Elephas maximus indicus: one gene and its partner. The protein of the gene in region 1 purifies or fractionates together with the protein of each later gene. This does not show direct contact. Links are inferred from orthologs where the notes say so. Each region holds a gene or a part of one and is shown in the gene's direction. Other genes may lie near its edges.

Region 1 (8,069 bases):
GATTTGCCCAATGCACTGTGTCTTTTGTATTTCTTGACTGCTGCTTCCATGGCTGTTGATTGTGGATCCAAGTACAATGAAATCCTTGACAACTTGTCTTTTCTGTTTATCATGATGTTGCTCATTGGTCCAGTTGTGAGGATTTTTGTTTTATGTTGAGGTGTAATCCATACTGAAGGCTGTGGTCTTTGATCTTCATTAGTAAGTGCTTCAAGTCCTCTTCACTTTCAGCAAGCAAGGTTGTGTCATCTGCATAACACTGTTAATGAGTCTTCGTCCAATCCTGATGCTGCATTCTTCTTCATATAATCCAGCTTCTCGGATTATTTGCTCAGCATACAGATTGAATAGGTATTATGAAAGGATACAACCCTAACACACACCCTTCCTGACTTTAAACCACTCAGTATCCCCTTGTCCTATCTGAACAACTGCCTCTTGATCTATGTAAAGGTTCCTCATGAGCACAATTAAGTGTTCCAGACTAAGACAAAATAGGAAGAAGGACCCAGCAGTCTACTTCTAAAAAGAATTAGCCAGTGAAAACCTTAACAGCAGCAGAACTTTTCTAAATAGAAGGGATAAATTCAGTAGAAAGGGGGAATGTATGGAAAGAAGAGGGAATGACTAAGAGAGCAATGTCTGGAGGAGACAAAAAGAAAAAAGATATTAGACTTAGCAACGAAGATGGATGGCTCATACTTTGAAACATGAAGTAAAGAGGAGTGCAGCTTTAGATAGGCTTGTAGGAATAAGGGTAAAGGTGTGTCTTAGTCATCTAGTGCTGCTACAACAAAAATACCATAAGTGGATGGCTTTAACAAAGAGAAATTTATTTCCTCATAGTAAAGTAGGCTAAAAGTCCAAATTCAGGGTGTCAGCTCCACGGGAAGGCTTTCCCTCTCTGTTGGCTCTGGAGGAAGGTTCTTGTCCTCAATCTTCCGATGGTCAAGGAACTTCTCAGATGCAGGGACGCCATGCCCAAAGGACGCACTCTGCTCCTGGTGCTGCTTTCTTCTTGGCATGAGGTCCCTGTCTCTCTGCTCGCTTCTCTGTTTTATATCTCAAAAAAAATTGCCTCAAGACACAATCCAATCTTGTACATTGAGTCCTGCCTCACTAACACAACTGCCGCCCATCCCTCTCATTAACACTACAGAAGCAGGATTTACAACATATAGTAAAATCACATCAGTTGATGAAATGGTGGACAATCACACAATACCGGGTATCATGACCCAGCCAAATTGATACACCCATTTTTGGCGTATGACAGGGCATAAAGGAGCTCATACCTGAAGTATAAAATGCTAAATAATAACATAAAAACCAATAAAAAATTTCCTTATAGTTGATTTCTACTCATGGCAATTCCGTATGTTACAAAGTAGAACTTCTCCATAGGGTTTTCTTGGCTGTAATCTTTAAGGAAGTAGATTGCCAGGGCCTTCCTCTATGGCATGGCTAGGTGGATCTGAAACACTAACCTTTAGGTTAGTAGTTGAGCGCAATCCATTTGCGCCACCCAGGAACGTAATACTAATAATTCTAATATTACTACTAATACTACAAAAAGCATTACATTCATTGAACACTTACCATGTGTCATACAATGTTCCTCATGGAGCTAATTTTGCTTCAATAATGTTTCTTCAATATTGGAAACTACTCAGCTACTGGGTATGTCATATCTTGATGCAGCCTAAAAACAGCTTTTATTACTGAGTAATATATGCAACAGTGACTTTCACTCCACCATATCTGACCCTTTTCTCTTCCATGCACTGAAACTATTCCTAATCCCAAGGGCCAGGACGGGTAATATAAACTTGTTTTTAAATTCTGATTCATCTATCGTGACTCCCATCTGTAAGAAATCCCAGCATCAAAAGACCCCTGTCGAAAATTACTAAAACTTTCTAGCAATTTAGGCAAGGTGTTTCATTTAAAAAAAAAAAACTTGATTAATATTAGTAGATAAAGACTAGTAGATTCTCCCATAATCCCTGAAGCGTTATGTTACTCTAAAAAGGTATTCAGAGTTTTACCATGTACACATGTGACTTCCTCTTGGATTGTGAGCTTTTGAAGGCAGGGATAGGGAGTTTTCATCTTTTTTTGTTTCTCAAGACCTGGCATAAACCAAAAACCAAAAGGAAACCCTAGTGGCATAGTGGTCTTAATAAACAGTAGAAGCTCAAAGTTTGTATAAAGAGTACATTATGCTAAAAAAATAAAATTGCTCCTTATACTTTACAGTGAAATGAGGAAATCATTAGAAACTACTGGATCCCATTTTGACTAAAGCCCAAAACCAAACTCACTGCCCTTGAGTCAATTCTGACTCATAGAGACCCTATAAGACAGAGTAGAACTGCCTCATAGGGTTTCCCAGTCTGTAAATCTTCATGTAAGCAGGCTGCCACATCTTTCTCTCTCACAGTGGCTGGTGGGTTAGAACCACCGACCTTTTGGTAGGTCAGCAGCTGAGTACTTTAACCTCTGTACCACCAGTGCTCCTCCCTAAAGATTACAGCCTAGAAAATCATATGGGGCCACTTTAAGTCGGAAGTGACTGGTTGCAACTAACAACAGTCCTGGAACAATTTAAATTTCTCTAGCTTATTTTTATAGCTGATGAAATCTTTCATAGTTGTTATAGTTAGATGGGGTTTATATGAATTATTTTTATGCATCGAGTTCAACTCATAGCGATCCTATAGGATAGCGTAGAACTGCCCTGTAAGGTTTCTTAGGCTGTAATCTTTATGGTGGCATAGTGCTTAAGAGCTACAGCTGCTAACCACAAATGCTGGCAGTTAGAATCCACCAGGTGCTCCTTGGAAACCCTATGTGGCAGTTCTGCTCCATCCAGTAGGGTTGCTACGAGTCAGAATCAACTTGACGGCAATGGGTTTGGTTTTTTTTAATCTTTATGCTTATGCAAGCAGATCCCCAGGTCTTTTCTCCCCAGAGCTGCTGGTGGGATCAAACTGCTGACCTTTTGGTTAGCAACCAAGCACTTAACCATTACACCCAGAAGGCTCCCTTAATTACCTCTGGCTATCTTTATATAAATCTTTAAAAAAAAACAGCGCAGTGGTTAAGAGCTAGGCTGCTAATCAAAAGGTTGGCAGTTAGAAACCACCAGCGCCCCTTGGAAATCCCATGGGGCAGTTCTATTCTGTCCTATACAGTCACTATGAGTAGGAATCAACAAGATGGCAAATGGTTGGGTTCTGAGTTATATAAAGAAAAGACGCTTTAAGAATACCACTTAAAAAAATACACTGCTATGTATGATTGCTGCTATAAAAAAATTCTGAATACTGGATGAATGAGGCCTCTCATACAGTACCTTAAGGCAAATAACACATTGTGAATTTTGCATTTGCCAACTGCGCCTCCCCCACACCTTCCAGGTATTAAGTGTGCTTTATCAATTTTTATTTTACATTGTCGTAAAAAAATTAGCAAGCATGTTTGCAAAAATATGTGGGGAGATCCGTTGGCAAACATAGACCACCTCGGCTATTTGGGTAAAAATACAATATATAAATCACTACTTCACATGCACCCAAGGTGTGCCCTCCTTGCTCTGCTGTGCCATCAAGTCTATTCTGCCTCGTGGTGACTCTATATGCCCCACAGGGTTTCCTAGGCTGTAATCTTTATGGTTATCCAGGTTTTTTCTAACCAGAGCTGCTGGTGGGTTCAAACTGCTGCCCTTTTGGTCAACAGCCAAGTGCTTAACCATTGAGCCCCCTTCATATTAATTACCCCTGGTGGCTTAGTGGCTAAGCGCTATGGCTGTTAACCAAGAGGTCAGCGGTTCGAATGTGCCAGGCGCTCCTTGGAAACTCTATGGGGCAGTTCTACTCTGTCCTACAGGGTCACTGAGTCTGAATCCACTGGATGGCAGTGGAGAGAGTGGTGGTGGTGTAGTGGTTTAGAGCTAGGGCTGCTAACAAAAAGGCCGACAGTTCAAATCCACCAGGCACTCTTGGAAACCCTATGGGGCAGTTCTGCTCTGCCCTGTCTGGTCACTATGACTCGGAATCAACTTGACAGCAACAGGTTTGGGTGTTCTTTTATATACACATATGTATACATATATAAAGATGCTTTTTAAGAATGCCACAAAAAAATACACTGCTACGTATTACTGCTATAAAAAAATCAGAATACTGGATAAACGGGGTCTCTCATACAGTATTGTAAGGGCTTATCAGCAAAGCTGCAAGCCATATGACTATGAATTGTGATTCCACTACAGCTGTTCTATCAAGTATTGCAAAGCCACAAATAAACCCCTTTAGATAAAATGGTGACCGTGCTATTACATGTGATTCTCAATTAAGGCAGTGTTATAAATGGGTTCAGTTGTTGTATGGATAGCTTCTATCCAGCAACTAGGGCCCACCAAAAGGCCACTCTTCTTTATCTACAACCTACTGAATATCGACACTGCAGGAGACAGGCTTCAACCTTTTTGTCTGTTGCAAACTAGTGATACGTTCTGTGGTTAGCAAAAGGACTACATAGATGGCCTTGTTGCCCTGAACGCTGGCCCGCATTCTCAGGCCATCCCCGCAACGTTTACAAAGACAGCTCGGAAGGAAAGGAGTTAGGGTCAGAGACCTAATATCGGAGGCTTCACTTTCTCTTGCCTCGGAGATGGGGGCTATCCATGCCGCCATGGTTGCCCGTTGGAGCTGACTCGCCCCGCAACAAAATCAGGGCTCCAAGTCCTGGCACGTTCCCGGGCTGAGTAGACGAGAGGCTGTAAAACCCCCACAAGAACTTGAGAGGGTTTCCGGAGTGTAGGCCCTTCTCTCTATCGGGCCGCAGACTGCATCTGACAAACGAAACGATTTCCACACTAACCAGTCTCAAAATGGCGGCGGAACCTGGTGGGACGCAGCGGAGTCGCGGGCCACCTCCCCTTCCCAAAGGCCCCTGCGCCAGCGGTGACGGCGAGCGGTAGGGGGGCGGGTCCGACGAGGGGGGGCGGGGAACCTTCGCCCCGCCAGGCGGCGCGCGCTGCCTGCCGGGATACTTGGCCCGCCCAGTTAGTCCTCCCAGCTTGCGCCGCAGCCGCGAGACCCGCGTTTCTACTAAGATGGTGGCGCTGGGCTCGGGGTGACTACGGGAGACGACAGGGCCCTTTCGCCTTCGCCAGGATCCTGACACCCCGCCCTCCGCTCGCTCGCGCACTCCGCCGCCGCGCAGCCAGCCGCCGGTCTGGGCGCCTGCCACCGCCCCCGCCGCCAACCTGCGCTTCACCTCTGTCGACCCGGCGCTCTTAGCCGCGGGCGGCGGCGCCTCTCTCGGCACCTCCTCGGGTCCCCGCTCCGACCCGCTCGCGGCCTAGCTCCGGCCAGGCGGGCTCTGCAGCCGGGTTCGGACAGGCAGCAGCGGAGCGGCGGCCGGAGACGAGCGCGGGGTCCTCGGCGACCCCGGCGCCCCCCCTGGCCGGCCTCGGCGTCTGTAGAAGGAAGCGCGGGTACCGCATGAGCCCCGGCGGTGGCGGCAGCGAAGGGGAACGAGGCGGTGGCGGGCGGAGGCGGCGGGCGAAGGCGACGACGACCAGTGAGGCGGCCGCCGCTGCAAGGGCTGCGACCTAGGCGCGGGGGCGACGACAGGTCAGTGTCTCCACCGAGGGGCCTACTCCGGGGGGGGAGCGGAGCCCCGGCCTCTCGTCCCCTGGGCCCCTCCTCGGGCCGGCTCCGGCGAGGATCGGGCTTCTCCCCCGGGGCGAGTGTTGTGGGGGCGCTTGGTCTGGAGGGGCTGGTGCCAGCAGTAGGCCTCTGGTGGCAGCGCTGGCTGCCGCCGTAACTGTCAGTTCTGGCTGAGCGCCGGAGGGGAAGGGAGCAGGCCCGGGCCCGGGCGGACAGGGCGGCGGAACTGACCAGGCCAAGGCCCAGGGCTGGGGAAGCCTTGATTTTTCCATCGTAGGGGGGCCCGTTATCTATGGTTTCGATTCTCTTAGTTAACAGATAATGTAGGCATGTGTTTTGTGAGTTGGGGCTTTGGGGTCGGATTGGTGGGGGGAGGCGGGTGGAAGAAGTGATGTGTCAAGCCCAGGGATTGCGTTCATTGACTGCCCGTGTGTTACTAGTCACGGGGATTCTAAAGTTGAACGTGAGATAGGGTTGTCAGGGTCTGCGTCAAATGCAGGTCTGCACGCAGTTAATCAGTTGGCCTTTTTTTTTCTTTCTTTCTTTCCCCATTTCAGTTGAGGGAATGCAAAGGAAACTTTCCTCATCTTGGTGTGGACGTTTTTGTGGGTAAACCCAAAAGTGAATGTTCCAAGTGGTATAGTCCATAAAAGACAAACCCGTTGCCGTCAAGTCGATGCCGAGTCATAGCGACCCTATGAGACAGAGTAGAACTGCCTCATAGGGTTTCTAAGGCTGTAATCTTTATGGAAGCTGACAGCCACATCTTTTTCCCGCGAAGTGGCTGGTGGGTTCGAACCGCTGACCTTTCAGTTAGCGGTCGAGTGCTTAACCACTGCGCCATCAGGGCTCCGTTGGTTTAGTTAATAAAGCTTTTAAGGATAAGTTTAATACAGACTCTTTAGTTAAACTTAGACTCTTAGAAAAATACTTCAAGTCTGTGAATTTTTAAAAAACTCGTAGGTGTGCTAAAACAAACAATACAGAATCCATATATGTGTAGGCTCAAACCAAAACTCGCCCTCGAGTTGATTCCGGCTCATGACAAAAAACCAAACCCGGTTTCTGTCGAGTCCATTCAGACTCATAGCAACCCTACAGGACAGAGTAGAACTATCCCATATGGTTTCCAAGGAATGGCTGGTGGACTCGAACTGCCACCTTTTGGTTAGCAGCTGTCGTAGCTCTTAACCACTGCACCAAAACTAATAGCATATGGTATTTACAATCCAAAGTTACCCTCAGAATATGGGTATGACCCATAGTTTTTGGATCTTCCCACTGCGTGCAATATTGAGAGAAGCAGCCGATTTTTTTTTTTTTTTGACGTGGGGGGGAGGGGAGTAGGTAGGGCTTAAAATAGAAATGACCTAAAGTTTAAGAAATACAACCATTAAAATGTTACATGTCAGAGACACTGTATGTACCCAATAAATTTTGTTGAGTGGACTGGGCAAGTGGGATAAAGCTGTTTTCCTCACGCCTCTGACTGAAATTATTTTTTTAAGTCATGAAAAAAGTTCAGAATTTAGCAGAAATAGAAGTAAAGTTTTGTTGTAGTATGTTTAGTGGAAATAACTTTGGAATTAAAGGTCAGCAGTTCGAATCTACCAGCCGCCCTTTGGAAACCCTGTGGGGCAGTTCTACTCTGTCCTGTGGGGGCGCTATGAGCTGTAATCGACTCGATGGTAGTGGGTTTGGTTTTGGTTTTAAGTCTAAGCTGCTTATCACATTTTTAATGAAATAAATACAGTATTAGCGATGCTGCTGACAGGGCCTAAAGGTGACAGGAAGCTCTTTTAAAAATACTAATAAGCATTACAGAAAAACAACAAAAAAGAAATAATGGCTATAAAATTAGAATGCAAACTATGAAAGTCTTGTGTCAGTATTAACTGTCATTAGCATGTTAAGTAGTAGGTACACTATCATCTGGACATAGCCTCTTCCCTGAAGAGTTTATTTATATACAGCGAAAATACAGTGTTTTGATTCCTCTTAGTGGCTTTGTTAGCTGCTTTTATTTTTTCTCCTAAATTCTAAACTTTTTTTTCCCATAGCTAAAAAAACAATTTCTCAAGCAAGAGTACTTACTAGCCAGAGGCGTGAGGAAAACAGTTCTCATCCCACTTGTCCAGCCCTCTTGACAAGATTTATTGGCTACCTTCAGTGTCTTTGATCTGTAACATTTTAATAGTTGTGTTTCTTAAACTTTAAGTCATTTCTTTTTAAGCCCCCCGCCCTCCTCCACAAAAAAATACCTGCTTTCAATTTTGCAGGTAGTAGAGTGATCTAGAACTATGAGTCATATCTGAATTTTTCAACCCAAATGGGTTGAAATGGTGTTTTCAGATGTCTGTTTTCTTAAATCATTACTGGTTATGTTGT
Region 2 (7,899 bases), on another chromosome or scaffold:
GTCTCAGTATCCTCAGTGCTTTGTACGTGAGATGTTCTCTGAGGACCATTCCAACTTTATAATGTTTTAAGAGGAGGATTCATGGGCTTGGCAAATTCCAGAACCTGAAGAGAGATTAAGAATTAAGACTTCTGAAGTTTGGGTGTTACACAGAGGATGGGATTTAAAATGCCAGAGGGCATTTATGACTGAGCAAAGGGGCTTGCTTGGCAGGATAAGCCTTACCCTTCCCTTGACACTGATTTCAGGGGCCAGCTTAGCCATACCCCCCACTCGCCATTTGACACCAATGTGGTCTTCAAGCTCCATATTTGTAAAAAGGTCAAGAGGTCAAAAACCAAACCCATTGCTGTTGAGTCAATTCTGACTCATACTGACCCTACAGGATGGAGTAGAACTGCCCCATAGAGTTTCCAAGGAGCACATGGCGGATTTGAACTGTTGACCTTTTTTGAGTAGCTATAGCTCTTAACTGCTATGCCATCAGGGTTTCCAAGATGTCAAATAATGCTAAGCATAAAATAAGGAGCAGCAACTTTCACTCACTGAGTCCCAGTTTTGCTTAAGCCTGTGCTAAAAAAAAAAAAAAAATTGTGCTAAGTACTTTAAAAATAATATTCTCATAAAATTCCCACAACAACTTATAAGTAAGTTCTATTGATGTCTCCATTTTACATGGGACAGAACTAACAAAAAAGGTTACCAAACTTCCAGTGTCAGGACTGATTCATTAAAGTCAGGTTTGGAACTCACGTCCAAATGCTTTTAATTGCCATCGCTCAGTCTTCTGACTCTTGACAGACTTTGGGCTCAAGCATAGACATCTGTCTTTGGGGAAATTGCACCAGCTTCTGAGTAGGACTGCCACCAACAAGCGCACTACCGTGCCACATAGCTCCCTTGGGCCACGCACTTGTGACAACCAGGCAGCTGCAGAAAACCTAAGCCCATTTGGAGCTGAAATTAAGCCAGGTAACCTGTTGCCATTGAGTTGATTTGGACTCATAGCGACCCTGTAAGACAGAGTAGTACTATCCCATAGGGTTAGCAGGTGGCACCTGTTGATTGAGGACTCTGAGCATGCATGGTTCCAGGAGCAAGGCAAGGTGAACATCAGGTGAGAGATGCAACCTTCACCTTCAGAAGCCCTCACAGGCTGATGAATTTTCATCAGCGAAATGCTCCAGTGTGCTGAGGCAGAAGGGGGAACGAAGGATGGTGGTCCTGGATGGACACATGTGAACAACTGTACAGTGCTAGGCCATACCCTGCCCTGTCCCTTGAGGAAATTTCACTAAGTCTCATGCAAGATAAAGTGACATATGCCGAGCAGTGTCATTCTATCCTTGGCAGCACTCTGGAAATGTTAGGCTGGAACAGTCCCCCATGAAGTCAGCACAGGTTCAGTGGGTCTGTCCTGGCTCACCAATCCTGAAGACAATTCCCCAGTGCTCAGCTGTGGACTCCAAAGAGTGCCCCTGATAGGTTATTATTACACAAAGATGACCTAAAGATGAATGCAAAGCCACTCATTCATTCATCCAACAAGTATTTGTTGAGGCCTACCACAAACCAAGCATCATGATGGATGCTAAAGCACAACGATGAATAAGACACAGTTCCTGTCCTCCAGGAGCTCAGCATCTAGGGCAGGAGAACTACCTACCAAGTACAGTAGGAGTCCCCTGGGTGACACAAATGGTTAAGCGAGGCACTACTAACAGAAAGGCTGGCGGTTCAAACCTACCAAGAGGCTCCTTAGAAATAAGGCCTGGTAATCTGCTTCCAAAAGGTTACAGCCTTGAAATTCCTATGGAACAGTTCTGCTCTGCATACTTGGGGTCCTTGTGAGTTGGAATTGACTTGAAGGCAACTAACAACAACAATATGGTGGGAGCAGAGAAGAAATGACCAACTTGGTCTGACAGGGAAGGAAAAGCTTCCTAGATAGGTGTCATTGAGTTGGAGCTTAGAGGACAGGAGAATTTGCTATCTGAAAACAGCAAAGGGCATTCCATACAGAAGGAACAGCAATGTGAAAAGTTGGATCAGCTTCGAAGGCAGGGCATGTTCAGAAACAGTCAAATGTTTAGGATGATCAGAAGGAGGGTGAGTCAAAGAGGCATGTTGAAAGCTGAGAGTCTTGAAAAGGGTAGTAGGTGCAGGTATGAAAAAGAGGAGACCGTAACATGCTCTCAGTTCTGAGAATTGACAGTAAGAAGGGCTACAGTACAATCTGACTAAAAAATACCACACTAAAGAAACCCAATGGAAACAGTGTGTCTTAGTTATCTAGTGCTGCTATAACAGAAATACCACATTTGGGTAGCCTTAACAAACAGAAATTTATTTTCTCACAGTTTAGAAAGCTAGAAGTCCATATTCAGGGCATTGGCTCTAGGGGAAGGCTTTCTTTCTCTGTCAGCTCTGGGGGAAGGTCTTTGTCTCTTCAGCTTCTGCTTCCTGGTTCCTTGGAGTGCTCCACGTGGCTTGGCATCTATCTTCCCCCATGTCAGCTTGCTCCTTTTATATCTTGTAAGGGATTGACTCAAAACACATCTTATATTAATCATGCTCCATTAACATAACTAAGACAACCCATTCCTAAATGAGATTATAATTACAGGCATAGACATTAGGATATATAACACAGATTTTTGTGGAACACAATTCATAACATGCAGATTTGAGGTAGTTGGAAAATACAATGACAACCAGCCTCCTATCTAACTGCCAGGCACCCAGCTACGTACTTTAAAAAAAAACCAAACCTGTTGCCATCCAGTCGATTCTGACTTATAGTGACCCTATGGGGCAGAGTAGAACTGCCCTATAGGGTTTCCAGAGAGCTGCTGGTGGATTCGAACTACCGACCTTTCAGTTCTCAGCCAAGCGTTTAACCACTGCGCCACGTTCACCAAGACCCCACTTTGTATACATTGTCTCATTTTTTTTTTTATAATTTATCACCCACATTTTACAGAGACAAAAACCACGCTCAGAGAGGCTAGGTAATTTGCCTAAGTCTCACAGTTGGTGAATGGCAGAATTTGGTTTTAAACACTAGGTCTGTTTGTCTCTAAACTTCTGTTTCCCTCTCTATGCCCAATTTTTTATTTTGAAACATTTCAAAACTACAGAAAAGTTGAAACATAGTACAAGAAACATTCATATAATCTTCATCTGGTTTCACCAACTGTTAACAGCCTGTGCTTTTTGCTACAACATCACCCCCCTCTTCTAGAGGGTGCTGGTTGGGAAATGACTGGTACATAGGATAAAATCCAAGGTCTGATAGAAGTCATGGAAAAAGGAGTTACTTAAGAGAAATCCTTCTACAGATGACTGAAGAATGCATAATAATGTATAGACATCTGGAAGCCAGAGCTGGAATAGGCAGAAGAGCTATGAGTTGCCCAACTTCTGTCAACAGACCAGGGCTGGGGGAGTCATTGCCAATAGAAATGGAAGATCATCTCTAAAGCCCAAACACTGAAGGGAAAACAGCAAAATGGATTTCAAACCCTTATATCTAAATCTATATAGGTGTTTGGCCAACACCCATTTAGTGCTATTTTTTTTTTTTTATCCTGTGCTAGGTGTTTTTGTTTTTTTCAAACATTTTCTGTGTTCTTCAATGCATCCAAAAATAAACAAAAACCAAACCTGTTGCCATCGAGTCAATTCTGACTCATAGTGACCCCACAGGACAGGGTAGAACTGCCCCATAGAGTTTCCAAGGAGTGGCTGGTGGATTTGAACTGCAGACCTTCTGGTTAGCAGCTGAGCTCTTAACCACTGCACCACCAGGGCTCCTTTAATTCATCAGAATCCAAAAAATAAGACTCCAGGTTAAATGGTGAGTGCTCCTACCAGATGAAGAGTTATTTCTTTTTTTCTCAACTTCTAGACCACACACATGGCCCACACATGGCCAAGCTGAAGAAGAAACTTTGGGGTTTGCCTGAAGCAGTCAAGGGCTCGGAGGATAGAAGGATCAAAGTTCAAATCCTGATCTTACTACTTATTACATGACGTCTGATTGTTACTATATTTCTGAGCCTTAGTTTCCTCTGTAAAATGGACACAACTGTATCAATCTCAAAAGTTTATGAGAACTACACGTGATCACTTAAAAGTACTCCTGATAGTGTCAGTTACACCCCTTCCAAGTCACAATAAGGAGGAGGGAAACCACACGCCAGACTGAGAACAAAGACCTTGTCTTGCTCCGCTTTTAGCTCCAGAACTTGGCAGTGCAGCATAGGATTTTTATAGATTTCTTCTTCACCCCAATACCAAAAACCAAACCCTTTGCCGTCGAGTCAACCCTGACTCATAGCCATCCTATAGGACAGAGTAGAGCTGCCCCATAGTTTCCAAGGAGCGCCTCGTTAGCACACTCTCCTTCAACTGGGGGCTAGACATATACTACAGAAACTTTACATATATGACAATCAAGGGTCCCCGATTTCAAAATCTTGGCTGCTTGTCGGACCACGCAGTCAAGTGCGGTGTCACTGTCTGGACTATTTATACTGCTAAAAGGAAACCTAACGGCAAGGAAATCTCGGTAGCCTACACCCCGGCGTCCAGGGAGCTCCGAGGGCCGGATTCGGGCCACATCCTCGGCGCGGGGGATGCTGGGGATGGTAGTTTTTCATCTGGCTTCCGGGGGCGGGGTCAGAGGGATGGCGCTCGCCGTCACGTTTCCGGTCGCAGGCGTGCTCGGGAGGAGGATGAGCACCGAGGCTCCCCGCGGTGTTTCCGGTCGGAGGCGGGCTCTGGAGGAGGAGGAGATCCTAGGTTCGCGTTGCGTTTCCGGTCGCTCGCGAGTCTGGAGGAGGAGCACATCGGCCGACGCGCGCGAGGCCTCCTGGGAGATGGGGGCGGTGCGAGCGGGTGCGCGCGCAGTGGGCCGGCGGCGGCGGTGGCAGGTCTGGCTGGTGAGCGATGGAGGAGGGTGGCCGGGACAAGGGGCCGTTGCCCCAGCAGCCCCCAGTGACAACTCCAGGCAGCGCGGACGAGAAGCAGAGCGGCAAGGAGCGGCGGGATGCTGGGGACAAGGACAAAGAGCAGGAGCTGGTGAGGCACGGCTCCGGGAGCCAGCCGAGGAGGCCACGGGCTGAGTCACGGCGGCCCCGCAGGCCTCGGGCCCTACTCCCAACGGCCCCGCGGCGCCCTGGAGAGGGCGGATGGGGCGACCCTCGGGGCTCTTGGCCCCCCGCTCTCTGCCCCACCTCCCCCACCCCGCGCTGTCATCTCTGCGGTCCCCGCCAGCCCTCGCGACCGCCCCGCGAGCTGGGGTCGGGCGGGTCACTGTCGCCCACATTTCAGAGAACGGCGTTCAGACAGCCTGGCCCAGAAGCCAAGGTGCCTTCCCACCAGGTTTCCCCGTTCCCGCTCTTCTGGTCCACCTGGTCCCTCCTGAGGCGGCAGGCTCTCACCACCTGTCCCAGGGTGAATGGGAGGAGGATGATTGGGATTGCTTGTGTTGATGAGCTTCTTCCCCCAACCCTGCAGTCTGAGGAGGACAGACAACTTCAGGATGAACTGGAGATGCTCGTGGAGCGACTGGGGGTGAGTCAGGACGTTATCCTGAGCGGGTGAGGGCGTTAGGATCTTCCCCATTTGTCTGCTTTTTTCCATTTGAGGCCATAGCTGATATGTGAAGTGTGAGGAAAAGTAGACTGTATTTCAGGGTGATTGTTGTGATGATGGAGCCCTGGTGGTGCAGTGGTTAAGAGCTTGGCTGCTAACCAAAAGGTTGGCAGTTCAGACCCACCAGCCGCTCCTTGGAAACCCTATGGAGCAGTTCCGCTCTATTCTATAGGGTTGCTGTGAGTCGGGATCAACCTGATGGCAGTGAGTTTGGTCTGGTTGGTTGTGATAGTGTTGTGAGGGGAAGAATTGCAAATAATACATGAAAAATTATGTAGTTTTGTCTTGTCGGAGAAGTAGAGCCGTTGAGCTCTTAACTGGGGTCATTTGTGTTTCTGTGAGGGCACTGTGCAGGGAGTTGGGGAATCAAAGATAAATGAGATAGTTACTTTTTTAGAAGAGTTGTAATTTCACATCTCCATGTTATGACTTGGGGAGCCCTGGCGGTACAGTGGTTAAGAGCTCAGGGGCTGACTAAAAGGTCAGCAGTTCGAATCTACCAGCCACTCCTTGGAAACCGTGTAGGGCAGTTCTCTGTCCTTTGTGGGTTGCTATAAGTTGGAATCGACTCGACGGCAACGCGTTTATTATGTCTTGGAGAGATGTGAATCCTCTTTGTCTGAATCCTAACGTATCCTGAATCAGGAGAAGGACACGTCCTTATACCGACCAGCTCTGGAAGAGCTGAGAAGGCAGATTCGTTCCTCTACAACATCTATGACTTCAGTGCCCAAGCCTCTAAAATTTCTGCGTCCACACTATGGCAAACTGAAGGAAATCTATGAGAACATGGACCCTGGAGAGAATAAGGTAAAACTATCTCAGAAGCTGGTGGAGGTCTAGTTTAGGAATTCTTTTATCTAGGCTTTGGGGCTCATGATTAACACTGGAAGCCTGATAGACTAAGACCTGGGTTAGTTAACAAAGCTCATCACAGCCAAAATACCCCCAAGAGAGCTGAAAGAGGAGAATAAATTTTTCATTAGACACTTTCTGTCATTTATGTTGGACCCTGAGGCTTCATTAGTATGACTTAGTTGTTATGTTTAAGTTTGTTCTTTTTTTAATTTCCTTTATATCGCATATCCATCCATTTACTCTAGCTCAAAATATACTCTCAGTTCAAACACTTCTCCACATGTTGGTACAACCATAATCCAGGAAACCTTCCAGTTCTTACCTGAACCACTGCAACAGCCTCCTAAATGGCCTTTGTCCTTGACCTCCTACCAGGGCTTCAAACCAGTTCTTTTCAGGTTCAAACCACTGCTGAGAATTTGCATTTCCAACAGGATCCCTGGTGATGCTGATGCAGCTGGTCAGGGACCAGTTCTGACAACCACTAGTAGAGCAGTGGTTCACAAAGTTTATTGTGCGTAAGAATCACCTGAGGATCTTGTTAAACTGTAGATTCTGATTTGGTATATCTGGGGTAGAAGTTCAGATTCTCAGCTGGGGTTTGAACCAGAACAAACCAGTTTCAACTTTCTGCTTCCTGCAGTCTATTATATAGGAACCATAAGTGATCCTTCTAGATTTGTGTGTCTTCTGCTTAAGACTCTCTAATAGATTATTATTGCAATTAGACTGAAATTCAGAGTCCTGGCTTTCTCCACTCTCACCCTTGTTTCCCACCCTTTAGCCATGTTGGTTTAGAAACAAGATAGTGACACCAGCCTTAGGTCGTTGTGAGGCTTAGCTTAGATAACATGTAAGTTTGTAGTACAGAGATTGGTATGTGGCTAATACTGAATTTTGGAGGCAGTGACAGTGATCTGGATTGCATAATGTCATGCTCCCCTTCCCTTGGACCATTGGATTTGACCTCAAAGGACTGGTCTCTCTGCAGCGTTTTGCAGCTGACATCATCTCCGTTCTGGCCATGACCATGAGTGGGGAGCGTGAGTGCCTCAAGTATCGGCTTGTGGGCTCCCAGGAGGAATTGGCATCGTGGGGTCATGAGTACGTCAGGTAAGGCCTTTTCTTCTGAGGAGTGTGAGGGAGGGGACAGTCTGAGGTAGAGTTGTGATTCTGCCATGGAGTACCAGCGTACCCGGAGTTTCCCAGAACACTGAATTCCTTGCCACACAGGGAAGGACTTCCCGTGCTCTGCTCCTTTAATGGTCTGGGCCTGTTTGTAGGCATCTGGCGGGAGAAGTGGCAAAGGAGTGGCAGGAGCTGGATGAGGCAGAGAAGGCGCAGCGGGAGCCACTGCTGACCCTGGTGAAGGAGATCGTC

Evidence for each region.
Region 2: the proteins of UBE3A (region 1) and PSMD2 purify together in Homo sapiens (affinity purification with mass spectrometry; 4 studies listed by BioGRID and IntAct, with this or other methods). This does not show direct contact. The link is inferred for Elephas maximus indicus from reciprocal best matches to the Homo sapiens genes UBE3A and PSMD2.

What each region holds. Positions count from the first base shown.
Region 1 is NC_064831.1:101,130,617-101,138,685, reverse strand, and holds the start of UBE3A (ubiquitin-protein ligase E3A), read left to right. Parts: upstream 1-5,059; 5' UTR 5,060-5,645; intron 5,646-8,069. UniProt on the Homo sapiens protein: E3 ubiquitin-protein ligase which accepts ubiquitin from an E2 ubiquitin-conjugating enzyme in the form of a thioester and transfers it to its substrates.
Region 2 is NC_064819.1:30,790,906-30,798,804, reverse strand, and holds the start of PSMD2 (26S proteasome non-ATPase regulatory subunit 2), read left to right. Parts: upstream 1-4,894; 5' UTR 4,895-4,953; coding exon 4,954-5,085; intron 5,086-5,523; coding exon 5,524-5,580; intron 5,581-6,306; coding exon 6,307-6,471; intron 6,472-7,510; coding exon 7,511-7,632; intron 7,633-7,802; coding exon 7,803-7,899. UniProt on the Homo sapiens protein: Component of the 26S proteasome, a multiprotein complex involved in the ATP-dependent degradation of ubiquitinated proteins.